4 linked regions of the Anolis sagrei genome follow. The protein of the gene in region 4 binds, or shares a complex with, the protein of the main gene of each other region. Links are inferred from orthologs where the notes say so. Each region holds a gene or a part of one and is shown on either strand. Other genes may lie near its edges. The genes, in order: DYDC1, NME5, DNAJB13 and ROPN1L.

The links.
Region 1: ROPN1L (region 4) and DYDC1 share a complex: the UniProt entries of both Homo sapiens proteins name them as parts of the axonemal radial spoke complex. The link is inferred for Anolis sagrei from reciprocal best matches to the Homo sapiens genes ROPN1L and DYDC1.
Region 2: ROPN1L (region 4) and NME5 share a complex: the UniProt entries of both Homo sapiens proteins name them as parts of the axonemal radial spoke complex. The link is inferred for Anolis sagrei from reciprocal best matches to the Homo sapiens genes ROPN1L and NME5.
Region 3: ROPN1L (region 4) and DNAJB13 share a complex: the UniProt entries of both Homo sapiens proteins name them as parts of the axonemal radial spoke complex. The link is inferred for Anolis sagrei from reciprocal best matches to the Homo sapiens genes ROPN1L and DNAJB13.

What each region holds. Positions count from the first base shown.
Region 1 is NC_090023.1:155,234,792-155,241,849, forward strand, and holds the start of DYDC1 (DPY30 domain-containing protein 1), read right to left. Parts: upstream 3,011-7,058; 5' UTR 2,756-3,010; intron 1-2,755. UniProt on the Homo sapiens protein: Functions as part of axonemal radial spoke complexes that play an important part in the motility of sperm and cilia. Plays a crucial role during acrosome biogenesis.
Region 2 is NC_090022.1:88,384,443-88,392,027, reverse strand, and holds the start of NME5 (nucleoside diphosphate kinase homolog 5), read right to left. Parts: upstream 3,008-7,585; 5' UTR 2,902-3,007; exon of another isoform or gene 2,757-2,901; intron 1-2,756. UniProt on the Homo sapiens protein: Functions as part of axonemal radial spoke complexes that play an important part in the motility of sperm and cilia. Does not seem to have nucleoside diphosphate kinase (NDPK) activity.
Region 3 is NC_090023.1:5,702,360-5,709,625, forward strand, and holds the start of DNAJB13 (dnaJ homolog subfamily B member 13), read right to left. Parts: upstream 3,001-7,266; 5' UTR 2,853-3,000; coding exon 2,785-2,852; exon of another isoform or gene 2,767-2,784; coding exon of another isoform or gene 2,756-2,766; intron 1-2,755. Other genes in the region: PAAF1 (proteasomal ATPase-associated factor 1), read right to left, coding at 4,874-4,951, 6,458-6,540. UniProt on the Homo sapiens protein: Functions as part of axonemal radial spoke complexes that play an important part in the motility of sperm and cilia.
Region 4 is NC_090024.1:104,141,259-104,148,594, forward strand, and holds the start of ROPN1L (ropporin-1-like protein), read right to left. Parts: upstream 3,005-7,336; 5' UTR 2,818-3,004; intron 1-2,817. UniProt on the Homo sapiens protein: Functions as part of axonemal radial spoke complexes that play an important part in the motility of sperm and cilia. Important for male fertility.

The sequences.
Region 1 (7,058 bases), on a different chromosome or scaffold from region 4:
TCAACCTGTGGGTCCCCAGATGTTTTGGCCTTCAACTCTCAGAAATCCTAAAAGCTAGTAAACTGGCTGGGATTTCTGGGAGCTGTAGGCCAAAGCACCTGGGGACCCACAGGTTGAGAACAGGTGAAAAAATACAAAATTTTGTGTATTCTGAGCAGTATCGTGTTGCTCTATGGAAATTCCCATTGAACAACAAGTCGCATGGCATTTGGATGCCTATTGTATATACAATGGGAAGCATGACTTGACACCCATGCTTTTGGATCCATTTGCACAATGGTTCTGGAGGGGGAACTCTGCCCTTGCTGGATTCTTGTGAATATGAGCATTGCCCAACATTGAAGACCATTGCATGTGATCATAATTCATCTCTGTTGCTGTTGTGTGCCTGACTTATGGTGACTTCAAGGCAAACCTATCATGATATAAATTGTTCAGAGAGCCTTCCCAGTCAGTTGTAAGCATGAATTTTATACTTGTGTCTTGTGTTTAATCTCTGTTATGTGCATTTTAATAAGTATTTTACAGAAATATGTTTTAAATATGTATCTATGTAATTTGTCAGTTTTTCATAAACAAACAGATATTAGGAAACACAAGGGGGGGGGGTGCCCACACAAAAACTTAAGAATTAAAACTCACCCAATACTTTTTTGTTTGAATGCTGTAATTTTTGTAAGTCAGTTTTATTTTCACTTCAAATGAGGTGAAGCCAAAAAAGCTGTCATTCCTATTTGAATTAAGAAATGATAGGCTGCTTCTTGCTATGAGGACAGGAAAGCAGCAGGGCAACATGAGCTGAGTGAGCTGGGAAAGAGACTAAGAGAAAACAGAATTATGGGAAATGTAGTTTGGAAAGCCGAGGAGCCCTATGGCAGAGAATTCAAAAGGTCCTGCCCTAAACTACATTTCCCAGAATTCTAGGAATCCCCACCCCAAGTCCTAGTAGCACCTTAGCATAACAAATTGTCACTGCACATCGCACTTTTAACCCTACGTGCCTCCTGCCATTCAGCACTTTTAACCCTTGTACCCCAGTGCGCCGGCCGAACCAGTTTTTAATAATGTCCTGATGTACTGCTATTGTTGTTATTTTGCATATTGTTTGATTTGTTTAGTATTGCGGTGTTATGTTATTTTGCTTACTGTTTGATTTGCCTTGTTGTTGTGATGTTATATTCTCTATTGTATTGTGTTTGAGGCTTCGGCCTGTGTAAGCCGCATCGAGTCCTCCGGGAGATGCTAGCGGGGTACAAATAAAGTTAATAATAATAATAATAATAATAAGCATCAGAAAGCCCCAAGCGGGATAGGGGAGAGATTGGTTCCTCATAGAAGTAGCCAGAGTTCCAAGAAATTGTTGAATTTGCAAAGAGGAGGACTAACTGATACAAGCAAATAAATTTCTGCTGGGCTGTAAAGAAATCCCTAAATTGAAGTTTTGTTGGTTAAAGACATTCAATGAAATAGCTGTTGTGGGGTTTTTTTAAAAAAAGTTTTTGTCATTTTTTAAAAAAAATCCAAAAAATCAGTAGATGCATGAATATTTTGGAAAGTTGGGGGGAATGATCCCCTGTTATCCTGTGCCATTGTATAGAAAATTCAAGGAGCCACCTCTTGTATTTTTTTAATTTTGTTTGTAATTTTTTTTGAAAATTTGCAAAAAAATCCATAGATGGGTGAAACATTCTGAAACTCCATGGGCTAACAGTGGTAAATATGTTCTATAATCATAGCAAGTTTCATGCCAATGAGGCAGAAAGGGGCCTCTGAAGTTTCCCTACTTGCACAATTACTATAATGAAAAAGTGACAAAATTTTGTTACTCTCATTACAGTAATTAAATTTTTACTAACGATACTTTAGAAACCCTTTAGAAATGAAACATCAACACCCCCTAATTTTGTAATGAATTTTGAAACATTTTTTCATTGATCACACAGCATATATATATGGGTGTAGGTGTGTGTGTAAGCCAAAAGCCCCATAAAAACTCACTAAACACTCTTCCATTTATAAGACAGAGAAAATAAAGGCTTGTTGCATTATCTGAACATGTGTGTATAGAATTTCTACGATATTCATGTGTTTTAATTATGCTGTAACCTGTCTCAATGGAGCCCCCGGTGATGCAGGACAGGTCACAGGTTCGAATCCGGGGAGAGGCGGATGAGCTCCCTCTATCAGCTCCAGCTCCTTATGCGGGAACATGAGAGAACATGAGAGAAGCCTCCCACAAGGATGATAAAACATCAAATCATCCGGGCATCCCCTGGGCAACATCCTTGCAGACGGCCAATTCTCTCACACCAGAAACGACTTGCAGTTTCTCAAGTCGCTCCTGACACGACAAAAAAAAAAACCTGCATCAAGCCACGAGGAGAGACAGGTAAGAAATAAAATAATAATAATAATAATAATAATTATTATTATTATTATTATTATTATTATTATTATTATTCAGGCTGAGAGAAAATGCCCAAAGTTCCCCAGTGGGTTTCTATGCCTGAGATTCAAACACTAGCCTTCCAACCTTCAGATTATAACACAACATCATACAAGATGCTACATTGGGATATTGGGATTAATTGGGCCCATGGCGATTTTACCTTACCAGAGATTGGTGTATGAAGCACCCCCCAGTCGGACTCTCTCAGCATCAATTCTAGTTCAAATGAGAAGCCACCCAACTGTCATCACTAAGAGAATCTACATATCATGATAGAAAAAAGTATTTATCAAAAGGCAAACTTACACTTGAACCCAAGGATGTACCAAACTGTAATGTCTCTTTCTTCAGTATGGCTTCATCAACTGAGGATGCTCAGAGAAGCCGTTAGACCTGGAAGCTTCTGTTTGGTATCCTAGCAACGGACCACTGCTTTATCTCTGATGATGCTACAACTCCCTCTTCTCCGTAGACAAGATGTTCCTCCTACCTTTACTTGGTTTGACTTTTAATGCTAATTGGCAAGATCAGTCTTCACAAGCGCTGGATCAAAATGTTTCTTACTGGGTAATGATAGTTTCCCAATTTACTAATCTTGGAAAGATACAAAGCAGATTAAAAAGGATGGAGATTTCGAAGTGATCAAATCAGAACGTGAGAAAGGATTGTGTGGCAATGATTATATGAGGAAGAGAGAAGAGTGTGGGTTACAATTTGAAAGAAAACCTGAAATGGGTGTATTATTTATATCTTTTTCGAGTTAAATGGTTAAATAACTATTGTTGGAAATATCTTGAAGAGTATATCATCAATGTTTCTTCCCGAGTCTTTGTCCAGTGAGCTGCTTGAGTCCCCCAAAGGGGGCATTTCAGGCAGCAAATGGATGGGCTCCCGCTGCGTGCTAGGGAAGACCTTTGTCCAACAGATTTTTGCCCTGGCCATGCCTTCTGCCAGAGTAGAGGAGAAATCCTGGAATAATTTGAGATTGCTCAAGAGGTTAAAAGAGTTCATTTTGGTTTGCCTTCTATTTAATGTATTCCATGATATCAAAATAAAGCAATAAAATAAAGACACAGGGATAGGAACTAAGGGAGGTTCCATCATAAGTTCATAGTTAGAAATAAGGGAGAAGTCAGGGTCTCTCTTGGCCCCATAGAGCAGGGGCCCTCAAACTATGGCCTGAGGGCCGCATATGGCCCTCCAAGGTCATCTAACAGGCCCTCACTCAGAGTCAACCTAAATCTGAAATGACTTGAAAGCACACAACAATAACAACAATCCTATCTCATCAGCCAAAAGCAGGTCCATACCAATAAGTTTATATTTATTTAAATTGTTTTTCATTTTAATTATTGTGTTGTTTTTATTTTATTTATTTTTTTGCACTACAGGTAAGATATGTGCAGTGTGCATAGGAATTCATTCATTTTTTTCCACAATTATAATCCGGCCCTCCAACAGTTTGAGAGACTTTGACCTGGCCCTCTGTTTAAAAAGTTTGAGGACCCCTGCCATAGAGTATAGGAGAGGTTACTCCCTTTTATTTGTTCTTTTTATTATCTCTGCACTGATGCAGAGTTTCAAAGGAAAGAATTTTCAAAGGAAAAGAAAGATACAGTGTTCCTTCACTTATTGTGGCTGTTACTTTCCAGGGTCACCCACAAAAAGTGAAAATCCACTAAGTAGGGACACTATTTATTTACTTTACTTGTATACCACAGTTTCTCAGCCTAACAGGCGACTCAACGCGGTTTACAACAAAGGTACAACAGTCAACAATATACAATTTAAAACCATAAAAGCATAATACACAATATTGACACAACAATAACAACCCAATGCATCTCATGACTAAAATCGTGATCCAGTTTCGTCGTCCATATTACCATTCCTGTAATCATCACATTCATTGCACCGATTAACCAAATGCCTGTTCGAACATCCAGGTTTTTAAGTAGCATCTCAAGCTGCCATTGCAAAAGTCCTACTCTCATTTTTGGTGTGTATTCATCCTCTGAGTATATCCTGACACCCTTTTCTTTTTAGGAAGCTTTATGCCTCTCCTGCCTTTCTTTCCATGCACTGGGTTGGTCTCGTGATGTCACGCAGGTCCAGGGGCGGCTCAACCCATTACGCAAAGTAAGCATTTGCAGTATAGTTGATTTTGCCCAGGGCACTCTTGAGGTGCTCTTGGGGGAAAATAGACCTTGACATATGCAAGTTGTAGTTACTGGAATGTATAGTTCACCTGCAATCAAAGAGCATTCTGAACTCCACCAATGATGGAATTGAACCAAATATGGCACACAGAACTCCCATGACAAACAGAAAACATATATCAGTGATTGGTTGGTGGTTGGGGGGGGGGGATACTGTTTGCTTACCGTTGAAAATACCTAGAGCCGCCTCTGCGTGGGTCCCCCCTCCTCCCTCAAGACCCACCTGCCATTCACCCCTCTAGACCTGTCCATCATCCTTCCCTTCCTTCTCCCGCTTTCAATCCGGACAGGCTCCCATCTGCAGAGGAAAGTGAGGAAGAGGGGGAGAAAGAAGAAGGCGAGAAGGAGGAGTTGGGCAAGTGGGGTGAATGCAGGAGGCGGCTTCCCAGGCTGGCATATCCCACGATGCACGTGGCAAGGAGAGACGTAGCTCCAGTGTAAATATATACATTACTGTATTTATTGAAAAACCGCGAAACAGCGAGTCCGTGAAAAGTGAAGTAGTGAGGGAACACTGTACCTAGTATAGTGTTGGAGGGGAAAATGTTGACAAAGTCCCAAAAATGGAGATACATTGTAGCATCAAAGGAATTGTGTTCTCTACTACTTCATCACACTAGAGCAGGGGCCATCAAACTTTTTAAACAGAGGGCCAGGTCACGGTCCCTCAAACTGTTGGAGGGCCAGATTATAATGTGAAAAAAATCATAAATGAATTCCTATGCACACTGCACATATCTTATTTGTAGTGCAAAAAAACACTTTAAAACAATACAATAAATAAAGAACAATTTTAACAGATATAAGCTTATTAGTATTTCAATGGGAAGTGTGGGCCTGCTTTTGGATGAAGAGATAGGATTGTTGTCACCCTACAACCTCTGAGGATGCTTGCCATAGATCAGTGGTTCTCAACCTTCCTAATGCAGCAACCCCTTAATACAGTTACTCATGTTGTGATGACCCTCAACCATAAAATTATTTTTGTTGCTACTTCAGAACTGTAATTCTGTTCCTGTTATGAATTGTAATGTAAATATCTTAAATACAGAATGTATTTCATTTACTGGACCAATTTGGCACAAATATCTGATACGCCGACATTTGAATGCTGGAGGGGTTGGGGGAGGGTTGATTTTGTCATTTAGGAGATGGGATTTATAGATGGAGATTAGAGGGAGAGAGGAAGAGAGTTGCAATTTATTAAGAAGTTTAATTTTATCATAAGCATTCAGAAACAGGAGAATTGAAGCTGGGGCTAACAGCGGGAGCTCACCTCGCTCTCCAGATTTGAACCTGTGACCCGTTAGTAAGTTTAGCAGCTCAGTGGTTTAACCCACTGAGCCACCAGGGGCTCCCAGGTATAAGTTGGAAATCATTTCAATGTGTTTAACATTTTTATTCTTAGTGTAAGTTTTCCTGTTGTGTGCAGTTTTGTGCTTGTTTTGATCTGTTTATTTAGTTGATTACTGTAATTTCTTTGAATTTAAAGGGTCGTTTAGAAAGCTCTTGACTACTGCATTTCAGAGTATTCAGCACCCATTCTATAATTATGGAAATCATCTATGTTTTTGATTTTGATTTTCTTAATATTTTGCTGTATTGAAAATCATATTCCACTGTTCAGTCCCCTACGAGCTCCTCCCCCACAAATATACCTTTTCAATTGCTATTTCATCCAGAGTTTTATCATTTTATGTCATGCAATTGGCCCACCCACTGTATTTGATTTTCCATTATGTTATTTTGTATTGTTTATTTGATTGGTTTATTTATTTTATTGTGATATTATTTTGTTGTTTATATTTTATGTTGCTGTAATGTATCGCTGGACTTGGCCTCGTGAGCCAAGCTGGATGGCCATCTGTCAGGGGTGATTTGAATGTAATATTCCTGCTTCTTGGCAGGGGGTTGGACTGGATGGCCCATGAGGTCTCTTCCAACTCTATGATTCTATGATTCTATTCTCTTTGGGGATTGCCAATATCCGCTGGATAATGGAGACAGGCAGGGAGTTTCAGAAAGATATCTATTTCTGCTTCATTGACTATTCTAAAGCCTTTGACTGTGTGGATCATAATAAATTGTGACAACTTCTTGGTGGGATGGGCATCCCAAGCCACCTTGTCTCTCTCCTGAGGAATCTGTACAAGGACCAAGTAGCAACAGTCAGAACTGACCACGGAACAACAGACTGGTTCAAGATTGGGAAAGGCGTACGGCAAGGCTGCATATTCTCACCCAACCTTTTTAACTTGTATGCAGAACACATCATGCGATGTGCGGGGCTTGATGAATACAAATCTGGGGTGAAAATTGCTGGAAGAAACATTAACAACCTCAGATATGCAGACGACACCACTCTGATGGCCGAAAGCGAGGAGGAGCTG
Region 2 (7,585 bases), on a different chromosome or scaffold from region 4:
CTGTTTGGGTTTCCCTTTTCCCCTCCTCCTTCCATCTCCTTTCTTCTTGTAGCTTTTCTTTTATGCTGCTAGCCTTGAGCAGGGACAGTATTTCCTAAAATGCCACTCTGGTAGCCTTTTTGGGAAAAGAGAAAAATTGTCAACCAAATTGTTTCATTCAGATATAAATCCCACTAATTTAAACGTGATAACAATCTTTTAGTATCCCTTGCCTATGAAAACCCTATGAAATTCATGGAGTCTACATGTCACTTGAAGTCATAATCATGTTTACAGTCACATAACCCTCCCAGGGTCATCTAGACACACCCTATATCCCAGGATCTGATCCCAGGTTTTCTGCTTTAAATATGAGTCTGCACTGCCAGATAATCTGAGATAAACAGAAAACCTGGAATCAGATCCTGGGATATAGAGCCTAAAGAAGTATTTTTTTGAGATGGCTGTTGCTCTGATAATTCTGGCTTTAAGAGTTGGATAATAGGTAGAAACTGGCAGATGCTCCCTGCTATTGTCTAGAAAAAAGGTTGCCCGTTGACTTCTGCCTTTTTTTACTCATGGTTTTTACTCAGCAAGCTCTATTTCTCAAAGTATTATTATTATTATTATTATTAATTCATTTTTATTCCGCTTTTGTCCCATGAGTGGAATTTAAAGTGGCATATAATGATTTATAAAACAGAAATAAACACAATACATATTCAACTAAAACATCATAAATCAATTAAAGCAAATAACCCAATTGGCCTACACCATATATAAGAAATAAATAACTTACAACAAATACCATTTTAAAAAATCCCCAATCTCAGGCCACTGAGTTTATTTGTGAAAAAGGTTACACAAGATCCTAAGAAACTCCACACAACTAGCACACTAAAGCTGGCTCTCCATATAAACAGATTCTGCATCCATACATTCGACTATCCATGGCTTGAACATACCCCCCCCCCTCCGCAAACATAAATTACAAAAGGCAGATGTAGAGAAATGTTTATTATAGAGTGTTTAATGTACTGTGTTTAAACTGTATTTAGGGTTTACATTAGTTGCTATGGCCTAACTGTAAGAGATAGGTTGCCATGGTAACAAGGCCTCAGAGGAGGTGGGCGGAGTTTAAGGAATAAAAGGTTTGAAAGCGACAGTTAATAGTCAGTCCGGTGGATGAGACCCGGGGAAGAGGATCAGAGTCAGTTAGGGCTCTGGGTTGTGAAGCTGTGAGAATTCAGTTAGTTCTTAGGATTTGTGAATATTTCTTCAGCAAGAGAGCTGAAAGTGTTACCTTGTTAGATTGCTTAGGTTAAAAGAATCTAACAGAAGGGGTTTTAAGGATTGCCAGTAAGGAAAGTGGTTTGATCCGAGTATAGGACAAACAGTGTGGAATATTCACAATAGGGAACTCTGAAGTAATAAAAGCACTTCACTAAAGAAGGAGTTTATAGAATTGTAACATCAGAAGCTTGAATGTATCTCAAACCAGCCATTTTGTAACATCAAGCCTTGTGCCAAGTTCAAATTCTCAAAACTGCAACAATTACGTTCTGTTAACAATAAAACTTGTTCTCTTTATATTTCAAACCTGTCTCCTCCATTGCTTTATGCTTGGTGCATTCCACACTACCAACGTCACCTCACAACACAACTAAAGATAAACAGAGACATAAACCAGCGTCTCTAGACATATTGCTGGCAGCTTAATTGATATCTAAAAGAAGGTTCCTTACAAATATTGTTGGCATCAGGGAAAATTTGGACTTCCTCACATTCAGTGGAAATAGTACTTCTTTACATAATTTGGTGCCAGCAGCTGGGAGGCTTCGTTACAGCAGACCTTGATTTTGCCATTTTATATACAGGATATAAGATCTAACCAGTCCATACTCTGGGAAATAATGCCCAGCTGCTCACTGGAGGGAAGGATATTAGAGGCAAAGAAGAAGTACTTTGGCCACATCATGAGAAGACAGGAAAGCTTGGAGAAGACAATGATGCTGGGGGAAATGGAAGGAAAAAGGAAGAAGGGCCGACCAAGGGCCAGATGGATGGTTGGTACCCTTGAAGTGACTGGCTTGACCTTGAAGGAGCTGGGGGTGGTGACGGCCGACAGGGAGCTCTGGCGTGGGCTGGTCCATGAGGTCACAAAGAGTTGGAAGTGACTGAATGAATAAACAACAACAACAAATATAAGGGACTCTATGTCACCATGTCATTGTGTACAGTGGGACGAGCATCCACGGATGCTGGTATCTACTGAGAGTTACTGGAACCAAAGTCCAGCTGACGAGGAGACCCACTGTAAGTGATGATGGAGCAAGGACTACTGGTATTCCACTTTACCTGCTATGGCGCCACCTTGAGGCATCCTAAGGCTTGTTGTTTAGTGAGGCCCAAGGTCCCTTCCTCCCTCCCTCCCTAAAGTGTACATTTTGGGATTTCAAAGGATGTTACCATGGCAGTTAAAGTGGGATAATAGTGAAATGTAACAGGGCTCCCAGTTAACATTAGATACATCTCCACTTTACACTTAACGTAGTTTGACGCCCCTTTAACGGCCATGGCTCGATGTTAAGGAATCCCGGAAGATGTAGATTGGTGGAGGTACCAGCAGAAGGCTCAAGACCTTGTAGAACTACAACTCCCAGGATTCCACAGCACTGAGCCAAGGCAGTTGAAGTGGTGTCAGACTGCATTAATCCTAGAGTGTGGATGCACCCACAGTGTATCTTGAATTAAAATCCCCCGAAGTAAACGTTTACCTCACTCCCTGGCCCCTTGAAACCCCTCTGCCGCCCTTCCCGGGATCATTGTCATTTCTTCCGTTGCCCTTTGCAGTTGCCAAAGAGAAAACCCTTCCGCGCTTCCACCTGGGGCCTGATGAACAGAGGAATTGGCCCCGCATACCTGCTAAATTAGACCTCTCGCCCCAGATGCGGTTGCCAGGCAACCAAAGAAACTGCAGCCCAAGCCAGCGGCTACGGCAGCCGGCGAGGGTCCATTTTGAAATGCGCGGTCGCTCTTTTGTCATTCAGTATGCATTCTACGAGCTTCGAGGCTTGATGGTCGGGAGCAGATAGCAACCTCCCTTCCCTATAACTCATGCAGTTAGGTCCTGATATGTTTAGGAGTATATTATAGGCACCAGCATAGCCCTCTTGTTCCATCCATGTATTCAGCCTCATTAATTTCACAGGGTTTCTTAGGTAAGTAATGCCCACAGGTGGTTTTGCCAGTTCCTTCATTTACAACAACATCCAAGTACTAGCCAGGGCCAACCCTGCTTAGCACCCAAGATTAGATGGGATCTGGTGCCTTTAGTTTAGGGGTTGCCTATGGGGTGTTTGAGTTGTAAGTTTTTCAGGCTGTATGGCCATATTCTAGAAGCATTCTCGCCTGCATCTATGGCAGGCATTCTCAGGTTGTGAGGTCACAACCTCTGTGTGGGGTGTTTTTTCTATTTGTGGTTATATCCACATGGAGACAAGTATGAATTTTGTAAGGCATACGCACAACTTTCTATTGAAACTTAACCATACCCTGAACAAGTTTGTAGTCCTCATCAAGGACTAAGAGCCCTTCCACACAGCCCTATATCCCAGAATGTCAAGGCAGAAAATCCCACAATATCTGCTTTGAACTGGATTATCTGAATCCTCACTGCCATATATTCCAGTTCAAAGCAGAAAATGTGAGATTTTATTCAGCTGTGTGGAAGGGGTCTTAGTCTGGCAGATGAGTTAGTTGGCAGGGAAAAGTTAGTTGGGCAAGTCACACTCTCTCAGCCTCAAAGGAAAGCAATGGCAAACCTTTGTTGAACAAATCTTGTCAAGAAAATCCCACGACAGGATCACCATAAGTCAGAACAACAACAAAGATTGGAGTTCTACAGTCATGAAGGCAACCTATGGACTCCTGAGATGTAGTTTGGTGACACACTAGAGCTCTCTAGCAGAGAAATCTCAACAACCCTCCATAAACTATGCCCCAGACAGACATTATAGTTAACGTGGATTTATCACACCGTAGTGTGAACAGGCCTGCCCATACACGTTAGTCTTGGGAGAACCAAGTTTCATGAAGTGCAAAAGAATCCATTTCCAGGCAATTAGATATAGGATTCCCGTCTTCTCCTATGGGACAATACAGTAATTCTTGGCATCCCCTCATCCTACCTAAGGAATTGCTAGTGTTTTGTTAACTCTTACAAAGGTGTGAAGGGACTGAGAGACTAAAAACAAAATCTTAAAGTTTAAACAGAGGCTGGATGGCCATTTGTCAGGGGTGATTTGAATGCAATATTCCTGCTTCTTGGCAGAATGGGGTTGGACTGGATGGCCCATGAGGTCTCTTCCAACTCTTTGATTCTATAAGTTGGGATTTAGGTCTTTTAAAACTACTGCAGCCACATTGTTTTCATAGATTATTTATAACAAGTTGAATGAGCAGGTTGAGCATTCATTATCTGGAATTTTGAAATGCAAAATCATTCAGTGGATTCCTGAGAAAACAACATCTTTGTTTCATAAAATTGTTAAAAAAATATTGTGTATAAATTTATCTTCAGGCTATGTGTATAAAATATGGAGACATTATTAATTAATTTCATATTTTGGCTTGTATCCCATCTCCTGGATAACTTGTTCTGTATGTATATGCAAAATCAGTTATTTAAAAAAACTAAAATACTTCTGGTTCTTAGCATTTCAGATAAGTGTTATTTAACCAGTGTTTAAATGTATCAAATTAATGCCAGAAGAATATTTTTAAAACCCAAATAAGTAATAGCACATTAGGGAAAATAGTTTAAAGTAGACATCTTTTTGAAATTTTATTTTTCAGTGTTCTACAGTGTTTCCCATTTTAATAGATAATATACCAACATGTCTTCACCTGCAGCCAGTGATGCCATTAGACAGTTTTGGCTCTGAGTGGGTGGGGATCTGTTGAGAAAGAAACATGTGTTATGGGACACCGTGGAGACACTGTCAGCATATTTCTGAGTGAGATTAGTTTTCTGGTTATTGCATTCTGTCTGATCTATTCTGTTCTGTTCTAGCAGTGGCCAAGAGACTATCCTGACCCTGGCAAGCCTATAAACACATACCTACCATCAGTGAAAACTGTGGCAGGAACAGGTAAGGAACTTCGGAGTGTGGTCAAGGTGAGAGGAATTACTAATAAAGAAGCACAGACAATCTAGAGCCCCTTCTACACTATCATATAATCCAGATTATCAAAGCATATAATCCATGTTATCTGCTTTGAACTGGATTATATGAGTCTACACTGCCATATAATCCAATTCAAAGCAGATAATCTGGATTTTATCTGACTGTGTAGAAGGGCCATCAGAATATAGTAGAAATTATTTTTATTACTTCCAGTTGATAACTTCTAATAAATTAGTGATATGAAACATGAAAAGAAAAACATAATAAAAAAGGAAATGATTGATTACCCTCTTGTAGCTGCAGAAACATCTGAGCAATGAATCGACCATTTTAAAAGACTTCTCCTACCGCACCATCAAGAATAAGAAACAATTAAGTGTATGGGACATCCAAACAAAACAGTGCATTTTTTTTTTTTTGCTGAATGGAATTTCTAAATTATTATTACAGGATGGTTTTGGGTTTGGCAATGGATATGGGTGAATAATAAGGTATTATATTAAGTTTTGTGTGGAATTCTTGTTTCTACTCCACTTCTGCCTTTTTACAGTGCTGTTGTAAAACAGTTCTGTTCGAGCAAAGTAAGAATAAAAATAGCTTAGTACAAATAGTGTATAGTACTGCAGCTTATGTTTTTCTTCAAATGACTATTCAGAATAAATTATTAATCATGGCTTTGTGTTGATGCTCACTGAATCTTTTCTTTATGTGTCTTCTTTGTTGGATTTGCCCAGAAATGAAATTGCTTACCTGCAATTTAAAAATGGAGCAGGAATACAGAAAACAAACCTATTAGTGGCTCTATGACAGATAGGTAATTTATACATAAAATATAATCACCATGTATGCATTGTATGAAGAAAAGCATTTGACAGAAAATAGCTATGGAAACCTAGGAGTTGTGATTTGGTGAGGCACCGGCAGTCTTTGGATGAGAAGGCTCAAGACCTTGTAGAACTACAACATTATTCCATTGCATTGAGCCATGGCAGTAAAAGTAGTGTCAAACTGAGATCGAGCGTGGTCAAATTATTAATAAAGTATAGTTGGAGCCATGACAGAGTCACGGAGAACGGAAGCTCAGAGCCTCACCGGGATCCAGTATGCAAACCATCTGAGAAGCAATTGGAGAACCAAGTAGCACCAATTGTCCTGGATGCTTCCCCCCCCCCCCCCCCCATTACAAACTAACACTTCAATAAGTATACACTATGGTGTATTATTCTCTTATTTGATTATTTGTATCTCTTTTTGCCTCCTATGTCCTTTTCTCCCCTCTTCGTCCCTTGAAGCAGGCCCCGGTAACCGCTTGGCCCCCATAGCCCCCACAGCCCTCAAAGCGGGGCTCCCATCCTTCTTTCCCTTTTCACCCCAGCTATCCCCTTTACCAACCCTCGTCCCCATGGGTACCTCGGTTCCCGGTGACATGAGCTCCCAGTATCCCCGGACCCCTTTGCTGTATATGCTTATAATATTTTATATTTTATAAAACTATTTGAAGATAAAGCCACCACACTGAGGCTCAGGTAACCTTTTGCCTGACCTGGAAGTCACCTCCAGCGCTTTCTCGTCATCACAACAATAGGATTCAAGCACCCATCATCACTGGAATCAATCCATCTACATTGATTCCCGACTGTACAGAGGATGTCTGGATCCATAAGATGGGGTTTTTTTGTGCAGTCACCTAGACACAAAGAGAATGTTCATCACCCAACACTCCTTCAGGACACCAGGAGGTCCTGCCTCGGTCATCCACAATGCCATCTACCCTTTCCCAGGAACTGACTGCATAATCCACTCATCTTGGACAATATCTGGTCTGGAATTCAATGGACACTAGCACTGGAGGCATTAGACACGGTAATCCTCTCAAGACACTATGCATTGTTTTGTCCTACTGGTCATCCTGCCCCGCCAGTCATTGGAGAGTCAGAATCTGCATTGGAAGTGGGGAACACTCTTTGATTTGCTGGTGGGCGCCACAGTCTCACCTCGCAGAGGGAATCCTCCCAACTGGCTGTGACGTCAAGGCCGGTTCTGCCAATCAGTGTGAAGCGGGAAAAACAAAAGACTGAACAGTATGAAAATGTGTTTTGCTTGTACCAAACATGTTGGCTTCCTTTTGCGATTCACGGTGACCTGTCACCCTTTCCAGCTGGATTGAATAAAATACCTCAGTGACTTTCTTCTTCACAGGAATGGCCAGCCTCCAACTGTGGACCTTTCCACACAGCCCTATATCCCAGAATATCAAGGCAGAAAAACCCCACATTGGGTTGTTGTAGGTTTTTTTGGGCTATATGGCCATGTTCTAGAGGCATTCTCTCCTGATGTTTCCCTTGCATCTATGGTAAGCATCCTCAGAGGTAGTGAGGTCTGTTGGAACTAGGAAAAAGGGTTTATATATCTGTGGA
Region 3 (7,266 bases), on a different chromosome or scaffold from region 4:
TATATAATATTCATCTGGTATGATTACTACTATTATTATTAAACATAATAATAATAATATGTAACAATACTACTATCATTATACACATATATAATATTATATGATGATGATAATCATATACTTTTATCTGGGGTGATTGTTACTTTGTTGTTGTTCATTCATTCAGTCGTCTCCAACTCTTCGTGACCTCATGGACCAGCCCACAGCCAGAGCTCCCTGTCGGCCGTCACCACCCCCAGCTCCTTCAAGGTCAGTCCAGTCACTTCAAGGATACCATCCATCCATCTTGCCCTTGGTCGGCCCCTCTTCCTTTTACCTTCCACTTTCCCCAGCATAATTGTCTTCTTTTGATGTTTAGCTGCAACCCAGCTTTTGCGCTTTTTTCTTTCACCTTGATTAGAAGGCTCCTCAGCTCCTCCTCGCTTTTGGCCATTAGAGTGGTGTCATCTGCATATCTGAGGTTGTTAATGTTTCTTCCAGCAGATGATAATAATAATAATAATAATAATAATAATATGATGCTTTTATCTGGGGTGATTATTACTATTATATATTATATGATGATAATGAGGATTTTATTTATTTATTTACATTATTTATATACTGCCTTTCTCACCCCTGGGGGGATTATTATTATCTAATACTATTAAATATATAATAGCATTATATATCGGACAAGCGGACAAACGTCAGTGTGCTGGAAGAAGCAAAGACCACCAGCATTGAAGCGATGGTCCTCTGCCATCAACTCTGCTGGGCCGGCCACGTTGTCCGGATGCCTGACCACCGTCTCCCAAAGCAGTTGCTCTACTCTGAACTTAAGAATGGAAAACGGAACGCTGGTGGACAGGAAAAGAGATTTAAAGATGGGCTCAAAGCCAACCTCTAAAACTCTGGCATAGACACCAAGAACTGGGGAGCCCTGGCCCTTGAACGCTCCAGCTGGAGGTCAGCTGTGACCAGCAGTGCTGCAGAATTCGAGGAGGCACGAGTGGAGGGTGAAACAGAGAAATGTGCCAGGAGGAAGGCGCGTCAAGCCAACCCCGACCGGGACCGCCTTCCACCTGGAAACCAATGCCTTCACTGTGGGAGAAGATGCGGGTCAAGAATAGGGCTCCACAGCCACCTACGAATCCACAAGGAAACACATCACGGAAGACCATCTTACTCGTCCAACGAGGGATCGCCTAAGTAGAAGTAAGTATGATGCTTTTGTCTGGGGTGATTGTTACTATTATATATTATATTATATGACGATAATGAGGATTATTATTATATAATACTTTTATCTGGTGTGATTACTATTATTATTAAACATATATACATATGTATACATATATATATAATATTATATGATGATGATGATAATCATATAATGCTTTTATCTAGGGTGATTATTACTATTATATATTATATGATGATATTGAGGATTTATTTATTTTTATTTTATTTACAGTATTTATATACCACTTTCCTCACCCCTGGGGGGATTATTATTATCTAATACTATTATATATATAATAGCATTATATGATAATCTATCTATCGATATCTATATATATATAAAAGCATTATATGATAATCATTATATATGTGTGTGTATATATATATATATATATATATATATGATTATCATATAATGCTTTTACCTGGGGTAATTACACACACACACACACACACACACAGTGTATTATGATGGTGGTCATATAATGCTTTTTATCTGGGGTGATTACTATTATTAATTTTATTTTTATTTATTTATTTATTTATTTATTTATTTTGGCATGTCAGGAGCAACTTGAGAAACTGCAATATTAATAATATCCTATCTAATCATAGAATCATAGAATCAAAGAGTTGGAAGAGACCTCATGGGCCATCCAGTCCAACCCCATTCTGCCAAGAAGCAGGAATATTGCATTCAAATCACCCGACAGATGGCCATCCAGCCTCTGTGTAAAAGCTTCCAAAGAAGGAGCCTCCACCACACTCCGGGGCAGAGAGTTCCACTGCTGAATGGCTCTCACAGTCAGGAAGTTCTTCCTAATGTTCAGATGGAATCTCCTTTCTTGTAGTTTGAAGCCATTGTTCCATTGCGTCCTAGTCTCCAAGGAAGCAGAAAACAAGCTTGCTCCCTCCTTCCTGTGGCTTCCTCTCACATATTTATACATGGCTATCATATCTCCTCTCAGCCTTCTCTTCTTCAGGCTAAACATGCCCAGCTCCTTAAGCCGCTCCTCATAGGGCTTGTTCTCCAGACCCTTGATCATTTTAGTCGCCCTCCTCTGGACACATTCCAGCTTGTCAATATCTCTCTTCAATTGTGGTGCCCAGAATTGGACACAATATTCCAGGTGTGGTCTAACCAAAGCGGAATAGAGCATGGGGAGCATTACTTCCCTGGATCTAGACACTATGCTGTCTAGAGTTGGGGGGCCACCACCGAGAAGGCCCTGTCCCTCGTCCCTCACCATCATCATAATATAGTGTATTCTGATGATGGTCATATAAGGCTTTTATTTGGGGTGATTACTATTATTTATTTTATTTTATTTTATTTTATTATTTTTATTATTATTATTTAGTTAGTCAGTCGTGTCAGGAGCAACTTGAGAAACTGGAATTCTAATAATATCCTATCTAATGAGCTGATGTATTTAAAGGAGGCCCCAAAGTGAGAGTGCTGCCACCACCACCACCTCCACCATCATTCCTCCTCCCCTCAGGCCGGGGATGCTGGGAGCTGCAGTCCCACCCCGCCTTCATAGAGAGAGAGGCCCTCACGCCTTCTTGATCTGGGCGTCGGTGGCGCTGCGGGTGAGCTCCAGGATGGCGTAGTAGTCCTGCCCCATCGCGGCCGGCCTCCTCCTCCTCCGCCGCCTCCTTCTCCCGCCTCGGGCCTACTCCGCCTGCCTCAGGCCTCCCGTTGCTAGGGACGCGCGGCCTTAGCAACGGGAGGCCGCTTTCCTCAGCCCAGGCCGCCGCAAAGCATGACGGGGCTGCCTCTCGTTCCTATTGGTCGAGGCTTGAAGGGGCGTGGCCTCAAGCTCCTTGCCATGCCTCTGCTAAAGGGGGGGGAGCCTCCGGATCCTTGCCTGGCGTTGCTATGGTTACGGGAAAAGGGGGCGGGGCCTCACCCAGTGGAAGGGCTAACCTTTTCTGAATGGATCTTGCCATTACTATTGGTCGAGGCTTGAAGGGGCGTGGCCTCAAGCTCCTTGCTATGTCTAGGCTAAAGGGGCGGGGCCTCCGACTCATTGCCTGCCGTTGCTATGGTTACGGCAAACGGGGGCGGGGCCTCATCTTTTCTGAATGGACCTTGCCAATTGAATAAAATATTATATGAAAATAATTCAAATAAATATCTAATAAATAAATAAACATTATATCCTATTGCATAAAAATAATGAAAGTAAATATATTATAAATAAAGAAATATTTTATAAAAATAATACAAAGAAATATAGTGTAAATAAATATTAAATTGTACAAAAACAATGCAAATGAATGTATTATAAATGAATATTGTATAAAAATAATACAAAGAAATATAGTATAAATATTAAATTGTATAAAAACAATGCAAATAAATGTATTATAAATGAATATTGTATAAAATAATACAAAGAAATATAGTATAAATAGTAAACTGTATAAAAATGCAAATAAATGTATTACAAATAAAAAAATATTGTATAAAAATAATACAAAAATATAGTATAAATAATTATTAAATTGTATAAAAACAATGCAAATAAATGTATTATAAATAAATATTGTATAAAATAATAGAAAAGAAATATAGTATAAATATTAAATTATATAAAAACAATGCTAATAAATGTATTATAAATAAATATTGTATAAAAGAATACAAAGAAATATAGTATAAATAAATATTAAATTGTATAAAAACAATGTAAATAAATGTATTATAAATCAATAAATATTATATGAAAACCAAACAGATAAATATATTAAAAATAAATAAATAGTATAGAAATATGATTAAAGGCATAAAAAAATAAAAAAATACCATATTGTATAAAAACAGTGCAAATAAATTATAAATAAATAAAAAATATGCTGTTCTGTAAAAAACATATAAAAGTATGATAAATAAATAACACATAATATTTTATATAAATAAATAAAATATTATTAAAATATGATATTGTCTAAAATAATATAAATGTCAAAAATTAGTTGAATTAGCCTCCCTGCATAAAACGGTACCTAAATTTCCTACTTGACAGATGCAAATGTCTTTTGGGCTGCATAGGTCAACAGCAAGCTAGACTATTAATGGTCGGGAGCTCACTCCGACCATTAATAGTCGGAGTGATAAATGAAGAACTGCTAAGAGAATGCATTTAAAAAAGGAATCAGTCAATACTTTTCTTGATGCCATCAATACAATGAAATAATTCAAGATGAAATCAGCTTTATTTTGAATGGGAATTTACAACTGAAACAATATTTATTGAGGAGCACCAGAAAAAAAGGATCCTTCTGTTTAGGAGGGCATGATGTTTTCAAACAATTTTTTATTGGTTTCCTTTCTAGTCGAGAGGTAGACAAAACATACCAAAAACATCTTCTCGCCTTGATTTACCTTCTCCTTTTAGAAACAACAAGGAGAGACCAACAACATATTGTCTGCAAAGGCAAACTGGACCATAACCCAAATAAATGTGGGTTGTGGTTCGTGTTGAAGATCACTAGCCGTTCGATTCAGGATCATTGTGTCTTCATGAGGTCCCCAAACAAATGTGTCCTCCAGTTGTATTTACAGTACAAAACCATGGAAATTTCAAAATACACCCAGCATTTGGAAAAATGCCCAGAGTTCAGAAATAATTTCTATCTTTGTTCAAAGTTCTGAAAGTTGGTATCTCCTTACGGTCCCGTCTCGGCAACAGGAATAGATCTGCTTCTCCCAGGTGGCCACCTAAGGAAATAATAATGTCAAGTCACACCACAGTGAAAATAGATGTCACATCCACAACTAATTGTACAAGAGCAAAGGGAAGACAATCCTACAAGAGAGGAGATTCCATCTGAACATGAGGAAGAACTTCCTGACTGGGAGAGCCGTTCAGCAGTGGAACTCTCTGCCCCGGAGTGTGGTGGAGGCTCCTTCTTTGGAAGCTTTTAAACAGAGGCTGGATGGCCATTTGTCAGGGGTGATTTGAATGCAATATTCCTGCTTCTTGGCAGAATGGGGTTGGACTGGATGGCCCATGAGGTCTCTTCCAACTCTTTGATTCTATGATTCTAAGGGACCCCCAAAGGCCATCTAGTCTGACCCCTTTTATTCTGCCAGGCAGGAAGACTCAATCCAAGCCCTCCCGACAGATAGCAATCAAGCTATAACATGCGTTGTTGTAGGTTTTTTGGGCTATATGGCCATGTTCTAGAGACATTCTCTCCTGACGTTTCGCCTGCATCTATGGCAAGCATCCCCAGAGGTAGTGAGGTCTGTTGGAACTAGGAAAAAGGGCTTATATATCTGTGGAATGACCAGGGTGGGACAAAGGACTCTTGTCTGCTGGAGCTAGGTGGGAATGTTTCAACTGACCACCTTGATTAATATATAATGGCCTGACAGGGTATGGAGAACAAGCCCTATGAGGAGCGGCTTAAGGAGCTGGGCATGTTTAGCCTGAAGAAGAGAAGGCTGAGAGGAGATATGATAGCCATGTATAAATATGTGAGAGGAAGCCACGGAGGAGGGAGCAAGCTTGTTTTCTGCTTCCTTGGAGATTAGGACGCAATGGAACAATGGCTTCAAACTACAAGAGAGGAGATTCCATCTGAACATGAGGAAGAACTTCCTGACTGTGAGAGCCGTTCAGCAGTGGAACTCTCTGCCCCGGAGTGTGGTGGAGGCTCCTTCTTTGGAAGCTTTTAAACAGAGGCGGGATGGCCATCTGTCAGGGGTGATTTGAATGCAATATTCCTGCTTCTTGGCAGAATGGGGTTGGATTGGATGGCCCATGAGGTCTCTTCCAACTCTTTGATTCTATGATTCTATGACAGTGCTTCGAGCAAACTTTTGTTGAGAGGTGATTAGACCACTCTCACAACCACCATGTCAGACTACACAGAGAAGCAATTGAAATACACAAGCATGTGGACAATTTCAACAGAAAGGAGGAAACCATTAAAATGAACAAAATCTGGCTATTACTATTAAAAAAACTCTAAAATTACAACAGAGAGGAAACAATCAAGGACATCTAATTCCAAGACATTTACAGGTGCAGTCTACCACACTTCGAGGAAATCCATTCCAGCTCTCACAGTAGAAAGTTTTCCTTGTGTTTAGAAGATTAGAAGTTCAGAGTTGATGTGAAAAACTGGAAAAATCATAGGACGGTTATTTTAAAAAAGGTACTAAAAAAATCAAAATAAAAATAAAATAATGTATCATGGCACATCTAACATGGGTTACCTTATAGACAGGGTCGCAGTCTGGTCCAGTGAGTTCAACAATATGATCGAGGTCTTGCTGCATGATAAAACAGGTCCCGTCCCCTAGAAACAGAGACAGGATATGATAAAAATCAACAACTCTGATCTATTTTCAAAGTCTTGACACATGATGGAATGTCTATATTATGCTACTCTGCTCCTTTTTCCTCTTGCCTGTGTGTCTTTTGCATGTGCAGCTGATAATGTAGGTCAGCCAGCATGTTTGAGCCACATCCAGTGGGGTGCAACTGTATGGATTTTAGAATACAGTTTGGAGAAGCATTATGCTACTCTGCTCCTTTTTCCTTTTGCCTGTGTGTCTTTTGCATGTGCAGCTAGTAATGTAGGTCAGCCAGCATGTTTGGGCCACATCGGTAGGGGTATAACTGTATGGATTTTAGAATACAGTGTGGAGAAGCATTATGCTACTCTGCTCCTTTTTCCTTTTGCCTGTGTGTCTTTTGCATGTGCAGCTAGTAATGTAGGTCAGCCAGCATGTTTGGGCCACATCGGTAGGGGTATAACTGTATGGATTTTAGAATACAGTTTGGAAAAGCATTATGCTACTCTTCTCCTTTTTCCTCTTGCCTGTGTGTCTTTTGTATGTGCAGCTGGTAATGTAGGCCAGCCAGCCTGTTTGGGCCACATCCGGTGGGGTATAACTGTATGGATTTTAGAATACAGTTTGGAGAAGCATTATGCTACTCTGCTCCTTTTGCCTCTTGCCTGTGTGTCTTTTGCATGTGCAGCTGGTAATGTAGGTTAGCCAGCCTGTTTGGGCCACATCGG
Region 4 (7,336 bases):
CACTTCGTTCATCTGAAGAGGCCCTGCTCATGATCCTTCCTGTGTCGCAAGCGCGTTTGGTGGGGACACGAGACAGGGCCTTTTCCATGGTGGCCCCCCGACTCTGGAACACCCCCCCCCCCAAAGATCTTAGACAGGCCCCTACATTGGCAGTCTTCAGAAAGAACTTGAAGACCTGGCTGTTCCGATGCGCCTTCCCAGAATAGGAAATCTCCAATACCAAGTCCCAGAAGCACTTTATTAGAACTAAGATTGTCGCACACTGCACACTGCACTTACTCTATAATCCTTATATACCACCTGTCACATCAGCACTTTTAATTTCTGTACCCATTACTCTGGCCCGGCACAGTTTTTATTGTGTTTTGGTGTATTGTTGATTGTTTGTTGTTTAATATTGCTTTGTTTTTAATTTGCTTTAGGTTTGTATTGTTATGTTGTGTATTGAGGCCTTGGCCTTTGTAAGCCGCATCGAGTCCTTCGGGAGATGCTAGCGGGGTACAAATAAAGTTATTATTATTATTATTATTATTATTATTATTATTATTATTTATTTCACAGTTTTAGATCAGTGTTTCTCAGTGTCCGTACCTTGGGAGGGCTGACTTGGCCACGGTCGTACAGTACACGGTAGTACAGTGTTAGATCAGTGTTTCTCAGTGTCCGTACCTTGGGAGGGCTGACTTGGCCACGGTAGTACACGCTTTGGTTACATCCCGCTTAGACTACTGCAACGCTCTCTACTTGGGGTTGCCTTTGAAGACTGCCCGGAAGCTGCAGCAAGTCCAACGCGCGGCAGCCAGATTACTAACGGGGGCTGGGTACAGGGAGCACACCACTCCGCTGTTACGCCAGCTCCACTGGCTGCCAATTAGCTTCCGAGCACAATTCAAAGTGCTGGTGTTGACCTATAAAGCCCTAAATGACTCCGGCCCTGTTTACCTCTCCGAACGTATTCTCCCCTATGAACCATCAAGATTATTAAGATCATCTGGAGAGGCCCTGCTCTCGGTCCCACCGGCCTCGCAAGCCGCCTGGTGGGGACGAGGGACAGGGCCTTCTCGGTGGTGGCCCCGCAACTCTGGAACTCCCTCCCTCTGGAGGCCAGAACCGCCCCATCCATCCTAACATTTAGGAAACGGGTGAAGACGTGGCTGTGGAGTCAGGCCTTCAATGAATGAGACAACACCATAGGACCCTGGATGGAAGTTTATGTAGATCCATCTTAATAGGACGACTGACCATTGTAGTTTTATATATAGTGTTTTTAAAGTTGTTTTTGTAATTGTGATATATGATATTTTAATGAGTGTATATGTTTTTTATGGCTGGAAACCGGGCTGAGTCCCTCAATGAGGTTGAGAAGCTTGGTATAGAAAACTGTGAAATAAATAAATAAATAAATAAATAATAATAATAATAATAATTTATTGTTGTATTGTGGGCTCGGCCTCATGTAAGCCACACCAAGTCCCTTGGGGAGATGGTAGCGGGGTACAAATAAAGTTTAATAATAATAATAATAATAATAATAATAATAATAATCTCTATATACAGTGTAGATCAGGCCTCCTCAACCTCCAGAATTTTGGGCCTCCAACTCCCAGAATTCCTGAGCGTTGGGCAAGCTGGCTGGGGCTTCTGGGAATTGGAGGTCCGAAGGTTGAAAATGCCTGGTGTAGACGCAGCTCTTGTAGGCCTCAGCCCTCGCTCTCTCTGCAGTTACTCACAGCGTCGTTCAATGGGGAGCAGAGTAGGTGGAGGGCCAAGGGGAGCTACCTCAGGGACAATATATACCACCTGTCACATCAGCACTTTTAATTTCTGTACCCATTACTCTGGCCCGGCCCAGTTTTTATTGTGTTTTGGTGTATTGTTGATTGTTGTTTAATATTGCTTTGTTTCTAATTTGCTTTAGGTTTGTATGGTTATGTTGTCTATTGAGGCCTTGGCCTTTGTAAGCCGCATCGAGGCCTTCGGGAGGTGCTAGTGAGGTACAAATAATAATAATAATTTATTGTTGTATTATGGGCTCGGCCTCATGTAAGCCACACTGAGTCCCTTGCGGAGATGGTAAAAAGGTAAAGGTAGTCCCCTGACACTAAGTCCAGTCATGTCTGACTCTGGGGTGTGGTGCTCATCTCCATTTCTAAGCTGAAGAGCCAGCGTTGTCCGTAGACACCTCCAAGGTCATGTGGCCGGCATGACTGCATGGAGCGCCGTTACCTTCCCGCCAGAGCGGTACCTATTGATCTACTCACATTTGCATGTTTTCAAACTGCTAGGTTGGCAGAAGCTAGGGCTGACAGCGGAAGCTCACGCCGCTCCCCGGAATCGAACCTGCGACCTTTAGATCAACAAGCTCAGCAGCTCAGTGCTTTAACCCACTGCACCCCCGGGGAGATGGTAGCGGGGTACAAATAAAGTTTAATAATAATAATAATAATAATTTCTATATACAGTGATCAGGCCTCCTCGACCTCCAGAATTTTGGGCTTCCAACTCCCAGAATTCCTGAGCGTTGGGCGAGTTGGCTGGGGCTTCTGGGAATTGGAGGTCCAAAGGTTGAAAATGCCTGGTGTAGACGCAGCTCTGGTAGGCCTCAGCCCTCGCTCTCTCTGCAGTTACTCACAGCGTCGTTCATTGGGGAGCAGAGAAGGTGGAGGGCCAAGGGGAGCTACCTCAGGGACAATATATATAAACACGCCATGTACCATATATACAAATACAAACACATCAGGCAAAATCTAATCAAACATATCGGGCACATCAGTCACATCTCCCTCTCTCTTTCTCAAACGAAGGCCACGGCCTCACCTCTCTCTCTCTCTCTCTCGGGCACGCACAGGGACGCGGCGGTTGGGTTTCTATGGCAACGTTTGTGCCTTACCGTCTCCTAGCAACCACGAGATTCGCAGCCTAGACGGGGATTGGTCGCCGCTTGGGCCTTACGTCATCGCTAGCCTCCGGACTCCATTATGACAGGCTCCTCTCCATTCCGGAATCCATTCCGGAAGTGCCTCTGAGGACAGGAAGTGGCTGTGGTTCCACCAGCGCCATCTTCTTAAAGGGAAAGCTCTTTCCCATGAAGACATACATTTCCAAGTATGTATTTTGTTGAGTTGCTTTGTATCACAAAGCCTCCTTCATGGCTTAATGGATCTGGACCAAATCTAGCACACATATCCTTCGTTATGTAATCTGTATCTATATATAAATGCACTGTGCATAATGAGTGTCTTAAAACAAAAGAACCAATGAACGAAATCACACCAAATTTGGCAACAAATCTTCTCACAACACAAGGAGTGACTATTACTCAAAAAATTATGATTTTGTCATTTGGGAGTTGTAGTTGCTGGGATTTATAGTTCACCTACAATCAAAGAGCATTCTGAACTTCACCAATGATGGAATTGGGCCAAACTTAGCACACAGGGCTCCCATGACCAACAGAAAAAACTGGAAGGGTTTGGTGGACATGGACCTTGAGTTTGGGAGTTGTAGTTCGCCTACATCCAGACAACACTGTGGATTCAAACAATGATGGATCTGGACCAAACTTGGCACAAATATTCCATATGCCCAAATATGAACACAGATGGAGTTTACGGGAAATAGACCTTGACATTTGGAAGTTGTAGTTGCTGGGATTTATAGTTCATCTACAATCAAAGAACATTCTGAACTCCACCAATGATGGAATTGAACCAAACATGGTATACAGGACTTCCATGACCAACAGAACACACTGGAAGGGTTTGGTGGGCATTGACCTTGAGTTTGGGAGTTGTAGTTCACCTCCAGAGAGCACTGTGGACTCAAACAATGATGGTTCTGGACCAAACTTGGCACAAATATTCCATATGCCCAAATATGAACACAGATGGAGTTTGGAGGAAATAGACCTTGACATTTGGGATTTGTAGTTACTGGGATTTATAGTTCACTACAATTAAAGAGCATTCTGAAACCCACAAACGACAGAAATGGGGCAGACTTCCCACACAGAACTCCCATGACCAACAGAAAATACTTAAGGTCATCCTGTCCAACTCTGTTCACCAGGGCAAAAAAAAATTAATCAGAGCCCTCCTGACAAAGAGCCATCCAGTCATAAATATAGATAGATAAATATGATTCTCTCTCTCACACACAGATATAGTATCATAGATTTGAAAGAGACCCTTAAAGAAGGACTATGATATGTTGCATATTCCAGAGTAGGCAAACCAGACACTCTCCACATCAACACTGACAAAGAAGCAACAAGAAATACTGTTTACTCACAAGCATAAAGGAATTACATATATTAAAAACCAACACTTTCTCATTACTTTATTTTCCAGATCACCTGACTGGGCCATAGCAACGCGTGGCAGGGGACAGCTAGTCTATATAAATAAAAGTGTAATGTTCGTTTGTGGGATCAACAGAACTCAAAAACCACTGAACGAATTGCTGCCAAATTTGGACACATTACACCTATAAGGCCAAGAAGTGACCATCAACCATAAAACACTGGGGGGGGGGGGGGGGGAGGGACAGTGGAAGAGACTTAAAAAGCCAAAAAACAAAAAATTACATTACAACTCATGCACAAAACCACATATATACACAAATATATACAGAAATATATACAAACATATATGCACACACAAAACACATATACAAAGAAAGGGGGAAGGAAGGGGGAAAGAAGGAGGGAAGGAGAGAATGAAAGAAATGTAGAGAAGGAAATAAAAAAGTGAAAAGGAAGAAGGAACGAAAGGAAGGGGAAGGAAGCAAAGAAAGAGACAAGGAAGGATGGAACCGATGAGCAAAGGAAGCAAGGAAAGAAACAGGTAGAGAAGGAAGAAAGAAGAAGGGAAATAAAAAGAAGAAAGGAGGAGAGATAGAGGCAGGTTGGCCACAGCAACACATTTCGGATACAGCTAGTTTAAAATAAGTGAAGGATTTGAACTAAACGTACCATCCCTTTGGGCCCAGAGGGAAAGAAAAGGAGCATAACGGATTGGCTGTGGCTAGGTGAAGTGGCCCTCTGAGCTGTGCATGGGAAAGGAAGTGAAACTGAGTGAAGTGGGTATGGAAGGAGGGAGGGAGGAAAGAAAAAGTAGGGACAGGAAGGAAAGGAGGAGGGGGAGAAATTAAAAGGGGAGATGGAAAAGAAAGGAAGGGAAGGGAGAGAAATGAAAAGTTATGAGGGGAGGGAGAAGAAGAGGAAGAAGAGGAGGGGGAAGACGTATAAGGCAAAGATTGGGTAATTGGGCTATGATAGCGACTTCTTGAATTTGCTATCTTTCACTGAGATCTCTAGAGGCTGCTAGAAAGGAATTATGACCAATTGTGCTTGGCCAATAAATCCTGTTCACCTATTAATAATAATAATAATAATAATAGGTTGTTGTAGGTTTTTTCGGGCTATATGGCCATGTTCTAGAGGCATTTTCTCCTGACATTTCACCAGTATAATAATAATAATTTTATTTTTATACCCCGCCAACCATCTCCCCTAGGGGACTCAGGGCTGCTTATAAGGGACACGCCCAATATTACAATTAAAACACACTTTAACCAATTAAAAAATCAGAGAAAACAAATAATAACACAACTGAAAGCAATATAAAAATATAGCTGTAAGAAACATAGCTGAGGTACAGATTCAATGAGTGCAATACATTTTTACAGGAGCGCAGGAAAGTGCAACAATACAGTAAACTGGGCAGGAAATACTGTCAACATGGCAATCCCATTCATACAGGGAAACCCAGCCTTTTACATTGCAGCACTCACTAACCCCTCTTACAGGAGAGCGTACATGCTGGCTAGATTTAATATTATGCCATCTCCGCTCCATAGAGGAAGACTCAACGGTCTACCAAGCAATAAGAGGCTTTGTCCCTGTAGCACAAGACAGCTGGATTCTATCCCGGATATTCTTCTGTACTGCCCACTTTACCAGGAACCAAGATCTAGCTTACCAACACACGTTATAGATTCCTTGAAAAACCAGTGTGACCCAAAGTAATTATGCTTTTAAATTGTCAAGATTTTAACTGCTGCCTTTCAGTGGCAAGATTCCTGAACGAAGTCTGTAAAATGAATGTGTAGCAAATGTGAAGTTCCCTTTTCTATGGTTGATACTGTATTTTATACTTTTGCTATATATATACCAATAAAGGCTTATTGGATTAGATTGGATCTTGGAGGCAAAGAAAGGGAAGAAAGAAGAGAGGGAGGTATATGAGGGAAAAGGAGGAAGAAAAGAATGAGCTAAAGAGCATTGCCATGGAGACATTGTGGGGTAAGCCTTCTCAGAGCTGGAGAAGGAAGAGAGTAGGTGGGCTATGGCCTCTCCAACACTATTATAAAGCCAGCTCTCCTTATTCACAGAGTCTGCGTCCACTGATTCAACCAAGCATGGCTTGAAAATATTCCCAAACAATCCAAAAGCAAACTGGGGTTTTGTTATACCGCATAAGGGATGCTCTTTTATTCTGCCACTGTATTTATTGGTACTTGGAAAAAACAAAATTTTTGATATCCAAGACGGGATCTTGGAACCAAATCCCAGCAGATATTGAGAGTACATGGTATTCTCACATCCTCACCCATTATTGAAAGCACTTTTAAAAAAAAAATGCCTGCTTGTATATCAATTATTGATGTCAAAGCTATCCGGACAACCACAATCAAGACGTCCTTTTATTTAAGATTTCAACTATTCCCTGTACTTAAAAAAACTGAGTTGGTTGTTAGTGGTTCAAGAAACAAGTTGGCATGGAGCATTATAGTGTTACAGTTTTAATAGTAAAACATTTGGTTATTTGGTTCTGCGTTACAAAAATAATTTCCCTGCAAATTAGGAGCTACAAATGAAAGTGGCAATCTTGAAAAACAGGCAAAAATAAGAAAGCATGTAAATTAAATTTTATTGGTACTGAACATTGTATTGTGATGGGAAGCCTATTAAAGAGGAGACTATATACTATATACAGCACTTTTGGACAAGGGGAGCCATGGCACAGATACTTTAATCAGAAGCAGAATTTTTTAAAAAAAACTCAAAAAATGTCACTGCAATATATTAAAATTTGGGTAAAGTTACTGAAGAATGTGATACAAAGCATAACATTTCCCTCCCTGCACATAACACTACCCTGATATACATAGGAGAGACATTTCCAAACTTTGCGCGGATATGCAAAACCACGATTTTCCATTGGCAGAATCATATGCATTCTGTGATTTCATTGCAAACCCGAAAATTCAGTAATTTGAATTGAATTAAGTATTCTGAGAATCTCAGGGGACCTTGTCACTTACAATAAATAAT